Linked DNA regions of Lepisosteus oculatus. The protein of the gene in region 2 purifies or fractionates together with the protein of the main gene of each other region. This does not show direct contact. Links are inferred from orthologs where the notes say so. Each region holds a gene or a part of one and is shown on either strand. Other genes may lie near its edges. The genes, in order: kiz and sclt1.

Evidence for each region.
Region 1: the proteins of sclt1 (region 2) and kiz purify together in Homo sapiens (co-immunoprecipitation; 3 studies listed by BioGRID and IntAct, counting the BioPlex papers as one, with this or other methods). This does not show direct contact. The link is inferred for Lepisosteus oculatus from reciprocal best matches to the Homo sapiens genes SCLT1 and KIZ.

Annotation. Positions count from the first base shown.
Region 1 is NC_090697.1:10,155,209-10,163,449, reverse strand, and holds the start of kiz (centrosomal protein kizuna), read right to left. Parts: upstream 3,836-8,241; 5' UTR 3,506-3,835; coding exon 3,345-3,505; intron 2,246-3,344; coding exon 2,186-2,245; intron 1,118-2,185; coding exon 955-1,117; intron 1-954. UniProt on the Homo sapiens protein: Centrosomal protein required for establishing a robust mitotic centrosome architecture that can endure the forces that converge on the centrosomes during spindle formation. Required for stabilizing the expanded pericentriolar material around the centriole.
Region 2 is NC_090696.1:36,253,960-36,262,821, forward strand, and holds the start of sclt1 (sodium channel and clathrin linker 1), read right to left. Parts: upstream 3,674-8,862; 5' UTR 3,664-3,673; intron 2,659-3,663; exon of another isoform or gene 616-2,658; intron 1-615. UniProt on the Homo sapiens protein: Adapter protein that links SCN10A to clathrin. Regulates SCN10A channel activity, possibly by promoting channel internalization.

The DNA.
Region 1 (8,241 bases), on a different chromosome or scaffold from region 2:
TCAGATCAGCACCTGTTGACAGCTCACATGACTGAAATTTAAAAATCTATTCTTCAATGTCCAACATACATGAACATGTGTCCTTACCACTTTGGTACACAAACCTTCAATGGAGCTCATCCACTTTGAAGTTGTAAGCTATTTTTTATTGTAAATTATATTTGTCAATTATTTTTATTGCACCCACCTGATCGTGGAATAAGCAAGTGCGTGTGTTTTGTGTTGTGGCTCATAACTACAAAGCCTGTGATCGCACAAGGGAAAGAAGGAGGCGGTATAGGGAGTGTCCTTAAAAAGAAGGCAGAAATGTAACAGGGGATCTGAGTCCATTCCTCTTGTAACACAGACAACACAGCCCTGTACAGCAGGTTCTGCACTATATCATGTCCACTGTATGCCTGCAAGTAACGAGCACACCACAGGCGTCGCTGCACTGTTGAAACACAAGAGCGCCTCCCTCAGGCGACTGAGTGCCTTTCCCGTTTGAGCCTCTGGGGAGGCCTCTGAAGTTGCATTCTTACAACTCCAAGATGTCTTTGCGGTGGAGATTTAAAAACAATCATCTTGTTTTTAATCTTGGGGTTTTTTTGGAGCTGGATTCAAATTTCAATCTATCCACAATCAGAAAACCAGAGAGAACATGCAAATTCCACACAGAAGGCACTCTAACCCAGAATCGAACCCGGGACCCAAGAGGTATGAGGTCTAAGAGCTAACCGCCACACTGCCATGGCCCATAGGCATTTACATATCAAAAATGCGACACATTCCCACTATAAAGATGAAGATCTACTCTAAAATGTAGATGTTCTGTTTCATTTTCCACAACATAAGACTTGGGTCCCACTGTATATGAAATGAAAATGTTAAACCAAAACATAAAATAAAATTGTTTGCAATGTACATACTGAAGAAGGATTAAATTATCCAATCTACATGCATTAAATGCATTACCTTTTTCTGATATAATGTGCTGTAGTCAGGAACCAGAGTTTTTAGATGCAATTCAATATGCTGAAAGTCTTTCAGAAACTGGAGGTTTCTAATCTTAGCTTGGTTTTCTCTTTCACAGATCTCCTTCAGATAGCAGCGCAATTTTGTATTTTTTATCTGGGATCTGAAAAGAAAAGTTAAAAATATTGTAAAGGTAACCCACTAATTAAAGGTGTCTCCTAAAATAATACAATGCATTTTAAGATTATACTGTCCTATAATCGGATACTTTCATATTTACATTTAAATAGTACACTGCAAAGGATAACGAGATCATTGTTTCCCAAACATTTTGATAACATGGCATTCTAGTTTTTTATCAGCAAGCCAATCACTTCATCCAGTGTCTCTCCTGTTAAATGTGTTTGTTTATACCACAGATTAAAATGCATCTCGTTTTAAAACAAAGGCTTTGGAGTACTCATTCCAAGTGCAATCATATCAACATTTAATGGGATGCAAACAGCATTTCCAAAAGTTACTGCTCCAATTGTTTTAAAACAAAAGTTGCATAGGTTAAGTGTCATCACAACAACATATGGACACTTTGTTCTGGGGAAAAATGGAGGAGCAAGTTTTGTTGGTGCCTGCTGTGGGGCATATTTATTACACTGGAAACAGAAAATCACCCATAGCTTGAAAAATGTGATTTAATTCAACCACAGAAGAAATTAGCTTTATCCTGCACAGGCACTAATACACATGCAATGTATTTCATTAATTCTGCATAATATGTTCATTAGTTATGAAAATATCTAAACTTGGGCAGTTTTAATATATAATGGTTTCATAGCACAGCAAGAAGGAATGTTTCCTGGTCTAGCTTGTCCTGCACCTTTTAAGAATTAACAAAAATGAAGCTCTAAAGCTCTACACTCTTTACTATATATGTGGTCATAAAGAAGATAGTTAAATGTATGGAATTACACTAAAAAAGGAATACAGACGATATGAGGGGAAAGTCGGTTTCAATTTTACTTTTTTTAACTTGTTACAGAAAGATTGACAGAGATAAAGTGCAAATACATTTTAAACGTAATAAACATACAGTGAACCATACTTCACTATTACAATACTGTAATCAGCAGATTACAATGTGTGAACAACTGTTCCCATGTTTTTTTTAAAAAAGCTCGACAAAGCCAAAGGCTGAAGTCACATCTAGATGAAGAAAACCGCTTTGCATACTCACATTCTGTCAGACCTGCAGTAAGTAAACAGCTCTCTTTCCAACTCCAATCTCTTTTTCTCACTGTCAAGGAAGACATCACAAGAGATAAAGCCAAAGCTTCTAACTTCAGAGGTTTTTTTATTAAAAAAAAGCTTTCGAATCCAAAGCAAATTAAAATTGAGCACTGTATATTCGAAAAGGTGAACTTTTCCCTCTACTGAAAATGTAACTCGTGATATGACAATCTGCACATTTGTCTCTTAAATTTAAAATGTTTGCTTTGATGGACTGAAGTCACTTAAGCTTGTTTATCTTGGTTTTTGGGACTAGTCAGTTGAAGCATATCGCTTATTCCCATCCTTATTCTGACACCCAAGAGGTCTAAATTAAACTGCACTTTACTGGAATTACAATTCTGTATGCAATATACATTCATGGACTGCATGCTTCCCAAATAGAACAATACAGCAGTAACGTTAAACTGTCTCCTTCATCAGCAAACAGACGCCTGCCTCCCTACCTACCTATATATTAGACAACAGCATATGTCCTTTCGCTCGATGTGCACCTTAGTGCATTTGGATGTCAAATTTCCAGGAATGTTACAACTAACAGAGATAATTTTACTACCAATAGTATAATTTACTGTACTGGTAAAAATCAATGAGTCTAGAGAAAAGTTGAGTCCTGCTATCGTTACATTTTAATTTCATATCGCATACAGACGAATCGGTTTTTACAACCTTGTAGACTTTCCAATATGATACAAGGAAACAACATATAAAGAAATCCCTTTACAAACGTTTCTGCCCACAAGAGATCGAAGTTTAAACTACTGCAGCTATGTAAAAAAAAAACGATTACCGGGGTTTCACACTAGCACAGCGACTAGACCCCCGCTCGTAAAACAATGTCTTCAAAATGTCTGGTAGGACGCGACATTTTTTCTTCTTAAAGTTAAAGTTTAAACGCCGTTTCACACTCGATAATGCGCAGTTTTCCGACCCCCCCCCCCCCCCCCCCAAAAAAAACCCTCCGCTGAAGAAACGAGCAGGACCGGAAACCACTTCAATCCAGTCCGAGGTCCCTGCTTCGGCCTGTTCGGTTCAACGGGGGAAGCAGAAAATGGATTTATGCGCCGTGATACTCGGAAATAATAAGCTCCGCCGGCCGGGCTCACCCTTCGTGCAGATTCCGCTGAAGGGCTCCGGTTCTCTCCAGGTACTGTTTCTCGGAAAGGGCCATGCTGCCGACTGGGGCTCCCCGAAGCCGAGCTCGGCGGCGCAGCGCTGTCTTGTTTACCCCGGTTGTCAGAGCACCGACAGTAAACACTCGAGCCATGAGGGAGCTTGAGCCAGCCAGCTGGAGCGGCGTGGCCTTGTCTGTGCTGAGAGAGGTGTTGCTCACCTTGTTTCACAAGAGCTGTTGCTCCCATCTTTCAAGTTATTCATCCAGTGCTGTGCGTTTGATTCTTTTTTGTTTTACTAGAATTATTATTATTATTATCCTGAAACGCCAACGTATCTTTTTTTTAATGTGAGAAATACATGTCACGTTTTGAACTGGATACCATTATCTTTCTTTACAAAATGTTGTAAAAATAGGAAGACAAATTGTTAAGCTTAGGGATAATATCTTACAAGTGGCAGAGATTAACAATGAAGCAACAGAGCCCAATTTAAAGGTTTGTAAAGGATGTTAACGGAAAAATAGATCTACTTATTTTTCTGTACCTCTTACCTGATATTTTATCAAAATAACTTTACTAGTACTTAAAGTAATTGATTACCTATAAGTAGAAATTAAGCCTAAGTATTATATAAATTCTATGCAGTTTTATAAGTTTATGCAAATATAATATGTAATATATAATTGTAGTTTGTCAATGTTTGGAGCACACTGTATTCTGAGGTATCCCACATGTCTGAAATGAGAAATTTGGAAAGGAACAAGTAAAGATTTATTCCATGATGAAAAGAAAAGACACACAACATTTTGGCTGTGGAGCCTTCTTCAGCTGTCACAGTGCAGACTTCATGGTTCTGTCGAGGATGGCAAATTATTTAGGCAGCAAAGCGGATCCAAATCATGATACTCCCACTAACATCCTTAACAGTTGGGATGAGGTTCCTCTGTTGGAAGAGAACATTTGGTTTTCGCCACACAAAACATTTTTTCCTTGTGGCCTACTATTTGAGACAGAAGGCAAAATTCTTTACAGAGAGCACTGGTGTCTTCCTGGCTATCCCTCCACTCCCATTCAGTGTTTTCCTGAAGGCTGAGGCATGAACAGTGACTCTTGCCACAACAAAAGAGGCCTGCAGATCATGAGGCTTACTCTGGGTTGTTTGTGACTTCCTGGGTGATGTTCCAGGTTGCTCTCAGGGAGATCTGGACTTTGAAAAGTTTCCATCTGTAGACTGACAGTGGATGGATAGAGCCCAAAAACGTGTAGGGATAGTTTTGTAACCATCTGCAGATTGATGAACACAAACAACTCTTTGCGGAGGAAACTTTGAAATCTTGCCTGTTCATTTGCAACAAAGCCGCAAAGGTTCGTACCATTATACAGGACAGGGTGGCCCAGACTCAGAACTTGTTACTTTTTACCTAATTATTTAACCACCTGATTCTAAAGCCGGCATCACACTAGAGGCCTCGACATGACAGAGCATGTCAACTATAATGACTGCAGTTGCTGAATCTCCCTGCCTTTTCTGTCCAGGAGGGTGTCAAGTTATACGACTAGGAATCGCAGGGGGTGAGTAATTACACGATTCTCTCACGACTTTTCGTCACGGCTCCTAATGTCGTATATGGCCGTGAAGTACCGCGAGGTCGCCACGTTTTGGCAGCCAATCAGTTTGATTTTATCGCAGCGAGTCTCAGAGAGCCGTAGGGGCTGTTAAGAGCGCTTGCTGGGTGTCACACTACACAACTGACGGCAACGTTGGGGGTGTCACACTACACAACTGACGGCAACGTTGGGGGTGTCACACTACACAACTGACGGTAACAGGCACATGTTGCGACTCTCTACAACTAGCTATGATATTCTTATGATTATGTAAATGAAGGCTTCGAAAATCCTAGTAAAGTTTGTGTAGTGTGACGCTGGCATAAGTAATCCCTTAAATGTGATAAAGCACACTAGGGGTTCACATTATACTTTCATATAACAGTATGTTTGTTTTTTTTTACTTCATATAGCATTGCATCAAAAAAAATTGAATTGCTACACAAAAAATATATTGGGGGTTCACAGGCTTTTTCTCTGCAGTGCAGTGCAGGTCTTTAAGAAAATTGTAGACAGTTTAGCGGGTCTCTAATGGATTTGGCCAATTTCTATACAGACATGAGAAGAAATACAGTATATTGCCCATTGTGGAGCCTGGTCAACTGAGTGAGAAGGCCAAAATAAGCAGATCTAAATTTAAAACCTGAGCTGTACTTCTGCAGTAAACCCTTAAGATAATATAAAACTAGATCATTGGTTGTTTTATATATGAGTTTCTGAATGTTAAAGTCTCTAAATTTTATAGCAAGCTAGTGCAATATGCAGTGGAAAGGAGTTATGCAGAGTCCTTTTTGTTATGTTTCTGATTTTTCTTATTTCTTTGTGTTTTTCAGAGCAGCATTAACCTCTGCTTGTACATTTAGTTTGGTTCACAGTTGCATTCTGACTGACTAGAATGAACCCCAGTGAGTAAGGTATTAGAGTTATCTAATCTCAATTAAATAAAGGCACATATCAGTATTTCAGTGTCAGTCAGGCAGAGCAAGGGTCTTACTCAAGCAATATTATGTAGCGTAAGAAAGATATTTCTAATATGCACTTCAAATGTGGGACCAATTTTTCTAAATTCCATTAAAGGCTTGATTCAGGGACCACCATCAACAGCACTGAAGTCAGCAACTTTGCAAAGCTGATGTTGAGAGTCTGTGAGCATAACTCTGTCTTGCCACCATTTAGCTTAAGAATGTTCTGTTGCATCCATATTTTAATGTCAGGCCACCTGTAAAGTGCAGAAACTACAGCAAATGCATCTAATTTTGTGAGATCGCATAATCTCAGTGTCTTCAGTATAGCAGGGACACCAAATAGACCAAGAGACAACATATAAATGTGCCTTTACTAAATACTAAAGGTCCCAGCACAGAACCCTATGAATCATCCTGAATAAGTGGGACAACATCAAATTTGAAATGGCCACGATTTACAAATTGGCTCCTGGTAGTCAAATACGAGCCAAAGCAATGAAGGAAAGTCACAGTAATCCCTAGGTAATTTTTCTTTCAAGCCAGTAGGATGCTGTGATTGACAGTATCAAAAACTGCACTTAAATCCATAAGAAGAAGGATATTAAGTGACCCAGAGTCAGAAGCCATCATACAAATCATTAACTACCTTAACAAGAATCTGTTTCACTGCTGTGTCTCAGTCTGATATGCTAGTTGATAATGCTATGTCACTAGTATTATCATAATAATTTCTGTAGTTTCAACATCACACTTTCCTTTAAAACAGGGCAAAAACAGAAGTATGCTTTCACCAACATGAAAGGGTTGCAGATGAGCAGTGTACAATCTATCAGTGTATATCTTTGCCAGTTGTTTCTGGTATTGAAAGGAGGAAACGTAGCTAAGGTAAGCAAGCCATAAATAAAATAATTCTCAAATTATTAGTTTCAGATTCTTAAAGATTCGATTTCTTTTCCTCTCCAAACTATTGTATGGGGTCACACTGGAAATGATAGTACCATAAATCTATAATAATGTTTATGTTTCTTTATTAGCCCTATACAATTTCTTGCATTAGGAATTTGTCTTTTTGCATACCCCAGCTTTTCTCCATGGAGACACAGACACACAGACAGGGAGAAGCTTGGGGTCAGAAAGCAGGGTCTGCCATTGTACGGCACTCCTGGAGCAGTTGGTGTTAAGGGCCTTGCTCAGGGGCCCAATGGAGTAGGATTCCTCTGCCGGCCGCGGGATTTGAACTGGCAACTTTCCAGTCACAGGTGCAGATCCTTAGCCACAGAGCCACCGCTCCGCCCCAGGGATCTACAGGAAACTGTACTTTAAAAAATGTGTTTATGGTAATTAAAGTGATGTGCCACAGACCAATGACAATGCGTCAGTTATAATTCATTAAAGGAGGTGAATGGAATTTGTCGTATATGAAAAGTAAGGAGTACAGTGATTGAAGTGCTTGCAGCATACAGTAAGTCACGTGATTAACAAAACAGACTGGTTATGTACAATGTCTGGTTTGAGCTGAGCATATATTATACCAAGTAAGATGAAGTGTCATGTGTACCTAAACCTTACAAACAAAAACACTTTCTCTCTCAACCAGGAAGAAGGAACGACGCAGTAATGGATCACTTGAGTAACAGACTTGATTTCTGTCAGCGCAACTGCTGCAGCTCTGCTCTGCCCCTGTCTGCTCATGGGCTCAGAGCCACGTCTTAGACAACAGTGGACTCCACTACATTCCAAGACCTGTCTAGGTTTCTAGAAATAAACCAAATATTACCGATCACTGTTAACATCCGCTTATCTACGAGAGAAATTGTTCCTAGATGCTATGATTTAACAATTAGAATACATCTTCTCAGACTAAGAAGAAGGCTGTGTAAAACAATAGAGAACATAAGGGAAAAGAAAGGGTGACAAGGATATTCACGTTGTTTTGCTGTGTCTCTGGGACATTTCAAGAGCCTACAGGCCTTGATCATGAAGACCGTAACAACATGATATAACATAAAATCAGCCGAATGACCATAACCACGTCATGTGTGGAAACTCCTGTTAATTACTGAAGACAATTCATGGAAAACATCTTGGCAACTGAGTTTCACAATTATTATTTTTACGGACTAGGCAGTATCCGACAACAGAAGAAAGGTTATGATCACAAGGAGGTGGCAAGAAAAATAATCTGGTCTAGTGTTTGACTTGCTATTTTCTGTTTTTCTTTGAGACATGATTGAAGACGTTGTCTTTGGAGGTGCGAGTGTAAGGTATTAAAGAGGTACTGCTTCTCATTTAACACAAAGGCTCCAATGTTAGAT
Region 2 (8,862 bases):
GGGTGTCCATGGTGCGCTGGTGTTCAGGGGAGGTGTGGCCTAGGCAAACAGTCCAAGGGAGTCCGAGGCAAATCCATGAATGAAGCAAATGTCCAAGACCTGGTAATCCATCCTGGCAGACAAACAGAGTTAAAAGCTGGAGTGGAATCTGGTGGAGGGTTGGGGGAATAAAAGGGGGTAACGGGACCAGACGCTCCCAAATCCCAGACTCAGTAGGTCAGGGCGCTGCGATGAAGCCTATGCCATCGAGTTGCTCCTGGACTCGTGGGTAGGTGGGCTTCCAGGCGTCCATCTTCCAAAGCTGAGCCCCGATAGGTAGGAACTGGAGGCAGGTGCAGCAGATCAGTACTGAACAAGGAAGGACTGGAGTGTCCTTAAGAGGAGGGGTTTACGATCGTGACAAAAACTGCTTTTAGGATCTAAAATTACAAGCAATCATTGTGCTCCAATTCTATGTAGCATATTTCTTCAATGTTTACCCATCTAAGAGCTGAAGTGTATTATGATGAGTAGTATCTTACTATTCTAAATAGAGATATTCACACAAGCATACAATTCTGAAAGATTAGTTCTTTTCCAGAGTTAAAACTAACTTTTCTTTGATTTTTTTCACAGGTGTTCAAAGTGCTTTCACAGACAATCAAAAGAGACTGGGAATGAGACATCATGGAAGCAGAACAATCTTTGTATATCACTTTGTGTTCTGTGACTTTATCTTTTTTTAGTATGAGAAACTAAGTAGTTCATGCTGGTTAGATAAGACACAGCTTTTGTGCCTGTTTTCTGAATCTGAACTGACAGCCTGGCATACACTGAATATTGCAAAGAAAGGAGTTTGGAAAAATGATATACAGTACAGGATTGTGGGATACTATAGGTTCTTAATGACATCAATCATTTTTACAAAAATAAGTCATACTTCTCTTTATCAGTTAAACTGATCATTTCACAATGCACAATGAGCTAAATAAAAGATAAAAAACATATATACCATCAATGGCCTCCAGATAACATGGGCAAAGTAAGATGTCAGTTCCTGTGTAGAATTATTATGAGGATTCAAAATCGAAACCATAGAAAGTGAAATCCTTCTCGCTACTTTTATAGTTAGGGATTTTTTTATCTCTTCATCTCCCCACCCCATCACATGCTCTGAGGTTTTTGTGCATGTCAGTTAACACAACCACTGCAAACGACAAGAAAGTGTCAGTTGCAAAAGTGGGGCAGGAAAAAAAGCTTTTGAAAAGGTAGATGCTCCCTGCAGGTTTCTGTGGGCTTAGCTGTAAGGCACGGTAACAGGCATCAGGATCTGCAAGGTAGAGGGCCAATGAAAAAGATTTAAATGAAGAGTTGTGCTATTATTTGGAAGGCTGTGCACTGAGCCATTTTTCTTTACTGAACTCTAGTTCAACTGTTCACGTAAATGCACAGTACTTTCAAAAACTGCTACAGACCAGAAATGCAAAAAAAATTTTTCACTTGACAATGTATTGTAAAAGTACTGTTAAGCTAAGTAAAACAAATGACAATTTTATGAAAATTATTCACACCAGTCCATATTTATATCATAGTATGCTCTTTACTACATATAAATCTGAAAATGTTGAGTGTAACCGTAACCCTTTACCAGACTACAGGGATAAATTCAAGATTTTAACCTACATGCATGAAAGTTCCAAATGTATACTGTACTACCATATTCATACAGGCTTACAGCATTATTCTCAATACTTTTACAGCAATTAACAAATCATCATCAACTAAGTGATGATGAAATTCAGAAAAAAAAACTCAATAGTTAGCTTTATAGCTGCATTATTTTAGCCACTGATGCCTCTTTGCAATTAGTACATCACTGTTTGCATCATATACTGTATACAGTACAAAGAGCAGAAAACTTGCTTTGGAATCTCTCATAGCATGTTTACTTACATATGCAACAAAACCTGACACGGCTGCTATAAGGTAATCCCTTAAACCTTTAAAATGCTAATCAAATTTCAAATGTACAAAATAAGCGTATCTTTGTGTTTGCAAAATCTGAATGCTACAGTAGAACACAAATGGTAATGTATGATAAAATCACCAGATCCTGTTTCCAGGAGCCCTGTCCAGTGATATACAGTATAAGGTAAAGTGAGTGCAAAAAGTCTTTAAACCTAAAGTTGGTACTTTTTGTAAGTAAAAGACAGCTAGACACCAGCATCATACTTTAAGCCTTCTTTGTATCAATCTGCCTGTAAACAAAAGATATTTATGGAATCTACCACATCTGTATTTCTCCCTACTCATTTATCCATGATCCATCCATCCATGTACAGACCTTTTTCCTTTATTACTGCAATGAATCAGTGCTACTTCATTTTCAAAAAACAGCTAGATGTCATTACAGAGGAGTAAACAGACCGCAGTGCGTCTGGACTAAGGCTATCTTGGAGAAACTGACAAGGCACAAATGAACATGACACTATTCGTTTTATTAACCACCAACAGAAACATGATCGTGTGTGATAGACAGCCATTTTGTTTTGTTTTCTTTATCAAAATTCATGAAGTCTGAACTCACAACCAAAAAACAATCTTTAAAGACTATCTAGGGAAATCATTATTTACTGAACTGCTGTGCATATTGTCTGGCTTAATAAATTGTACTTCATACCTCGGTATTTTATTTTTTACAACAGAAAAAGACAGAGAAGATGATGAACAGGTAAAGAGAGATAATGCCCATTACTTATCCACTAATACAGGGGTGCCCAACCAGTCGATCGCGATCTACCAGTCAATCTCTCGCAAGAGATAAATAAAAAATAAATGGGCTATTTGACTATTTACTTTTTTTTGATAATCTAAAAATGTATTCAGATCTGTGCATGTAATGTCATACATTTTACTGCCTTTGTGTGTGTTGAACTCTTGTCGAATGGGTTGTAAAAGTCTCTTCCCTGAGTGCTGGCTGACACAGGGGATAAAAAAGTTACAGAAGCTCCGTAAATAAAGATTGTTGTGTGTGCTACCCAAGAATGTTCTCTTGGTTATTGCTGCATGAGCCCCAAATTCGCTAAAGCGCATGCTGGAGCGAAACCGACTGGCCATATAAAATTTGCCAACAGTTTGATAAGTTTGATTGCCTTTTTGATAGTTGTAGTGTTTGAGCGAAAATGATGAAGCAAAGAGACGAAAACTTACTGTTAACACAAGGAATGCGAGCGTGGTGGGGACCGACCTGAGGCGGCAGAGTCGAGGGCGCATACCCACGTGAACCCCGGAGCATTACATTGGTGTCAGGAGTGGGGTGGGATAGCCCTTCACCGAGGACGGTGAATTAAGCGGGGGAGAGTGTAACTCTCTAAGGCCACCATTGGTTGTTCGAGCCAGCTTACTAGCGTGGTGACGTCACTGCCCTTCCCTGTGAATAGCAGGGACTGCAGCCACCGGGCTGACAGGAGATTTCCCTTTAGCTCAAGTGATTGGGTCCCTGTTGAGTGACGCCAGAGGCCCGGGTTTGAGTCCCCAGCGGTGGGGGGCTGACCTGAGGCGGCAGAGGTGAGGGCGCATACCCATGTGAACCCCGGAGTGTTACATTATTATTTTTTGTACTATTGCATTCAAATCTGCAATGCTAGCATCTACGAAAAAGGGAAATGTCCAACATTTCAAAACTGCACACAAAATGTATGATGTGGACTTTCCCGCTAAAAGTGAGTTAGGGAAAAGAAAAGTGGAAAAATTTAAATCTCAACTACCAGCAGTCGGTTTTCACGAGGCCTAATAGTATTCGTAATTAGTATTAGAAGTAGTAATACAAGAAGGAAAGCTTCAATCATTGCATTGTTCCGTGTGAGCCATGTCCTTGCTAAACACAAAAAGTAATTCAGGGATCGAGAAGTAATAAAAAAAGCATTTCCTGAGGCTGCTGACTTGCTGTTTGGAGATTTCAAAAACAAACATTTTTGACAGCTGTTACCTGAAATCAAAGAGTTTCTCAAGTCGTCTAAACATGGTGAATATGCCCAATTAGAGGATGACCACTGGCTTCTGGATTTAGCATTCCTCACAAACTTGACTGAACTGCTGAATGAGCTGAATGTCGAGCATTCTTTTTTTCTTAAACGGGGAACAATACTTGTTCACTGTAGTATGAGTCACTTGCTTTTATTTGCTGTAATTTTAGTGATGGGTATCGCTATTGTACTGATGTGTCCACAGTCTGTTTTTCCTATATCACAGCTTCAAATTCACACTGGTAAATCGCGCTGGACTGGAAAATGAAAGTAAATCTTACATTAAAATGTTTGGGCACCCCTACACTAATACAATCAAAGTGAAGTACTTAAGGAAGACAACCTACAGATGCACACAAGTGGCCACAAAATTGTAGGTTACGTCTGGACTAAAATGGGAGTTTGAAAAGGGTTAGAAATTGGTATGATCTATATAAATATAGATCATACCAATAAGGTATGCCTTAAATAGTATGCCTTAAAAGCTTAGAGCATAACCTTCATAACCTCTAGAATTAAAGGCATTCTTGTACCATAAATATTGAAAAAGGTTTCTTATGTACAATAAATTTGCACTTTTCAGAAAGTACCTAGGCCAAAAATATAATTTTAAAATTGTTTCCTTCCAAAGCAATTATTCAAATGTACATTTTCATTTACATTTACATTTTACATATTCACATTTACAATAAGCTTCACCAAAAAAAGTCAAAATTATTTAAAGGGCTGAAAAACAGTTAGATTATTAAAGTTTCCTAAGGTAAAAGAAGAAACCTGGGCTAGAAGGTATTCTAGTTATACCAACAGGGATCATGACTCATGACATACAGTATAGGAACCATTTAACATTCTGCCCTTTTAGCCAAGATGGGCCAGTATCCAGGCTTAAACACAGATGGCTTGTGCAGTTACATGCTGAGTGTCCCCATGATACTCAAGTTCACGTCTACTGTAGTTATGCTGGTTGGAGATCCCCAGGTCAGGTCAGGGCTAAAGTTGTTTAGTGTTCACAGCAACTACCCACTTATAAGGTGTCTGTCACCATGACAGAACTGAAACGTGAGAGAAACTATCCTAAAACATCAGAAATAAGCCCTGTGCATTTTAATTACCTTGAACAGGCAAGTAAATTTAAAAAGCAAACAACCAGGCCTGGCAATGGCTGTGGTCCTCAAGGGATCTTTCAGGCAACCGAAGAAGACGCAGAAACAGCAGATCATGAGAAAGGATGTAGAAAATGAGCCCTTGGGGCACAAAAGGAACGGAAGAGATAAATACAGGAGCAGAACGAATTCAAGATTGAGTGCAATAAAGTGAGATGGTGTTTTGAAACTTCCAATATTTTGAAATGTATGGAAGAAAATCAAAATAGGATACAAGTTTGACCTACTGTACAGTACTAATGAAATATTTAAAAAAAATAATTCATGCAAAATTTAGAATTAAAAAAAGGTTTAGAGAGCCAGGCAGGAGATCAGGAAACATTGGGTATTGGAATAGCTTGTTGAATCACTTTGAGTGAGCATTGAAGTCTGTTTCGTGGGCTTTGCTTGTGCAGTATTTCGTTTTGATGACCTTCATCTTAGGTTATGTACTGGACACAGCCTGCTTAAATTCTTTATGTTTTAAACTTCATACCTTTCGATTCTGTAGTATGGTTGACCTACAGTATACAGTATGTCATCTATCAGAATGTCATTTAAGCGGGCTTCATCAAAAACAGTCAATCATCTTCCAAATTTTTATTTCCCACATTTTCAAATAAAGCTTCCATGTAAATCCTTAATAAGGAATATGGTCCGGTACAAAATAATTTACTACTATAGCATACTGTATCACTAAAGGCTGCCACTAGTCAATGCATGGTTGACACTCTTGGGAAGGCCAAGTTACGTCAGAGCTCTGGCCCAGGGATTTTAAAGTATTAATGATGTACTGGAGAATAAATGCCTGCTATAGACCAGTGAAGCTGCAAAATTTAATTTCCCTGCCAAATGCTGCAGTTGGGGCTTTGACTTGCATTTCTTAGAGGAGAATTTATTTAAAACCATTTTAATCTCTGCCAGTTAATCTTCCAGTGGTGACAAACCAATTCAAGGTAAACTGGATGCCTCAAAACAAGAGGATGCTGTTTTTGTTAGTAGCCTTACTTCATGTACCAACAAACCTGGCAGAACACTTTTCCTGAAAGCATATTAGACGTATACTCGTCACCCATTCAAAAATAACATCATTTTGTTCTGTAATATAAAATCTCCAATTAAATCAAATAACACTTCACTTTCTGATGATTCCTAGTTAAAGTGTTTTATTAAATTTGTTCTCTTTCATGCAACTATCGAGACAAATGTTCCAATTAGATTTAGGCGAGGTTCAGGAAACAAACTTGGACCTGATTTAAGTTACAATTGAATAACAATTGAATATGTAAAGAATTGAAAATATACCTGTGTATTTACTAAGTAATTACTACATAGAATCCTGCAGGCCACTGACTGATGACTGAATATAGCTAAAGCCAATTAAAGTAGAAATTCACTGCAACTGTAATAGGATCAAAAAACAATTTCGATAAAACTGTACCAACCCATCTAAAATGCAACTTCTAAGCACTGCTGATCATAGTATTCTACACTTTATTACACATTGAAACTCGCATATCTCCTTGAATCATATAATTATTTAGTATATCAAAAGTGCTGGTTAAACAAAATAGAGTAGGAATTTAAGGAAGGAGAAAAATTAAGTTTTCCACCTCAAGCATATCTTGTCTAAAGAGGCTGATTAGGTATACAGTATATGATATATTCACTTTGAATATGATGGTACCTAATGAGATGAATGAAGTGTTAGAAATGGTACAGTACATTTTCCTGACCACAATAAGTTAGTTTATCTATTAATTTGTTGTTTCTAAATGTATATATGGTAATATATAGCTTTATCTCTTTTTGCCAAATGCTACTGTATATTGACTGTTCAGTTAATTGTCCCGGCACAAAGTTTTATAGTTTTAAACAATACATATAAAGCAATTCAATTACACATAATATTCTACTAACTAAAAGCTTATATCTGTAGATGTCCAGGAACAGAAATTAATATAATTAATTAGAATTTATTTTTCATTCATTGACAAACTATCAGTAGTTTGCACTGTGGATGCTTAGTTTTTGTAGCATTTATAGGAGGAAACTAACTTCATCTACCATAAAATAAAGGTAAGTTGGCAATATGGTTATCACATTACTAAACCTTTTTAAACAGACACTTCACTTTTAAAGATGAGTGATTAAGACATTACAGTAAGTTAACTTCTTTACAATGGAATAATATTGTTCTTGTCAAAATTGTGTGCCTGTATATTTCACTTGAGGTTGAAACATTTTCAGTTATATTGAACTCGTAAGAGTTGATGTAGTAATATCTTTCTTCTGGGTTTATTGTGTGCTTCCAGTGCTCTCTTGTAGCCTACGCTTCGAGCATCAGTTCCAACTTATCAAAAGCCTCACCAGAATAAGAGGCTTGCAGGTAACAGATTTGTAAGATATATCATTACATCATGCCAGTGTCCAACCATTTTCTAACCACTTCTTCCAATACAAGGTTGTGGGAGAGTCAGAGTCTATCCCAGCAAGCAACAGGCACAAGACAGAATACTCTCTGGACAGGATGCCAGTTCATCACATGGGAAACATGCAGACAGAAACACACATACACTCACATCAGAGCCAATTTTCCCAGAAGCCAAATACAGTGGTGTGAAAAAGTGTTTGCCCCCTTCCTGATTTATTTTTTTGCATGTTTGTCACACTGAAATGTTTCAGATCAAACAAATTGAAATATTAGACAAAGATAACACAAGTAAACACAAAATGCAGTTTTTAAAAGGTTTTTATTATTAATGGAAAAAAAAATCCAAACCTACATGGCCCTGTGTGAAAAAGTGATTGCCCCCTTAACCTAATAACTGGTTGGGCCACTCTTAGCAGCAACAACTGCAATCAAGCATTTGCGATAACTGGCAATAAGTCTTTAATAGCGGAAGGAGGAATTTTGGCCCACTCATCTTTACAGAATTGTTGTAAATCAGCCACATTGGAGGGTTTTCAAGCCTTAACCGCTTTTTTATGGTCATGCCACAACATGTCAATCGGATTCAGGTCAGGACTTTGACGCCACTCCAAAGTCTTGGTGGCCTTGCTGGTGTGTTTTGGATCATTGTCCTGCTGCAGAACCCAAGTGCACGTCAGCTTGAGGTCATGAACAGATGACCGGACATTCTCCTTCAGGATTTTTTGGTAGACAGCGGAATTCATGGTTCCATTTACCACCGCAAGTCTTCCAGGTCCTGAAGCAGCAAAACAGCCCCAGACCATCACACTACCACCACCATATTTTACTGTTGGTATGATGTTCCTTTTCTGAAATGCTGTGTTACTTTTACACCAGATGTAATGGGACACACACCTTCCAAAGAGTTCAACTTTTGTCTCATCAGTCCACAGAGTATTCTCCCAAAAGTCTTGGGGGATCATCAAGATGTTTTCTGGCAAAACTGAGACAAGCCTTTATGTTCTTTTTGCTCAGCAGTGGTTTTCATCTTGGAACTCTGCCATGCAGGCCATTTTTGCCCAGTCTCTTTCTTATGGTGGAGTCATGAACACTGACCTTAACTGAAGCAAGTGAAGCCTACAGTTCTTTGGATGTTGTTGTGGGTTTTTTCTGACCTCTTGGATGAGTCGTCGCTGCACTCTTGGGGTAATTTTCGTCGGCCGGCCACTCCTGGGAAGGTTCACCACTGTTCCATGTTTTCGCCATTTGTGGATAATGGCTCTCACTGTGGTTCGCTGTAGTC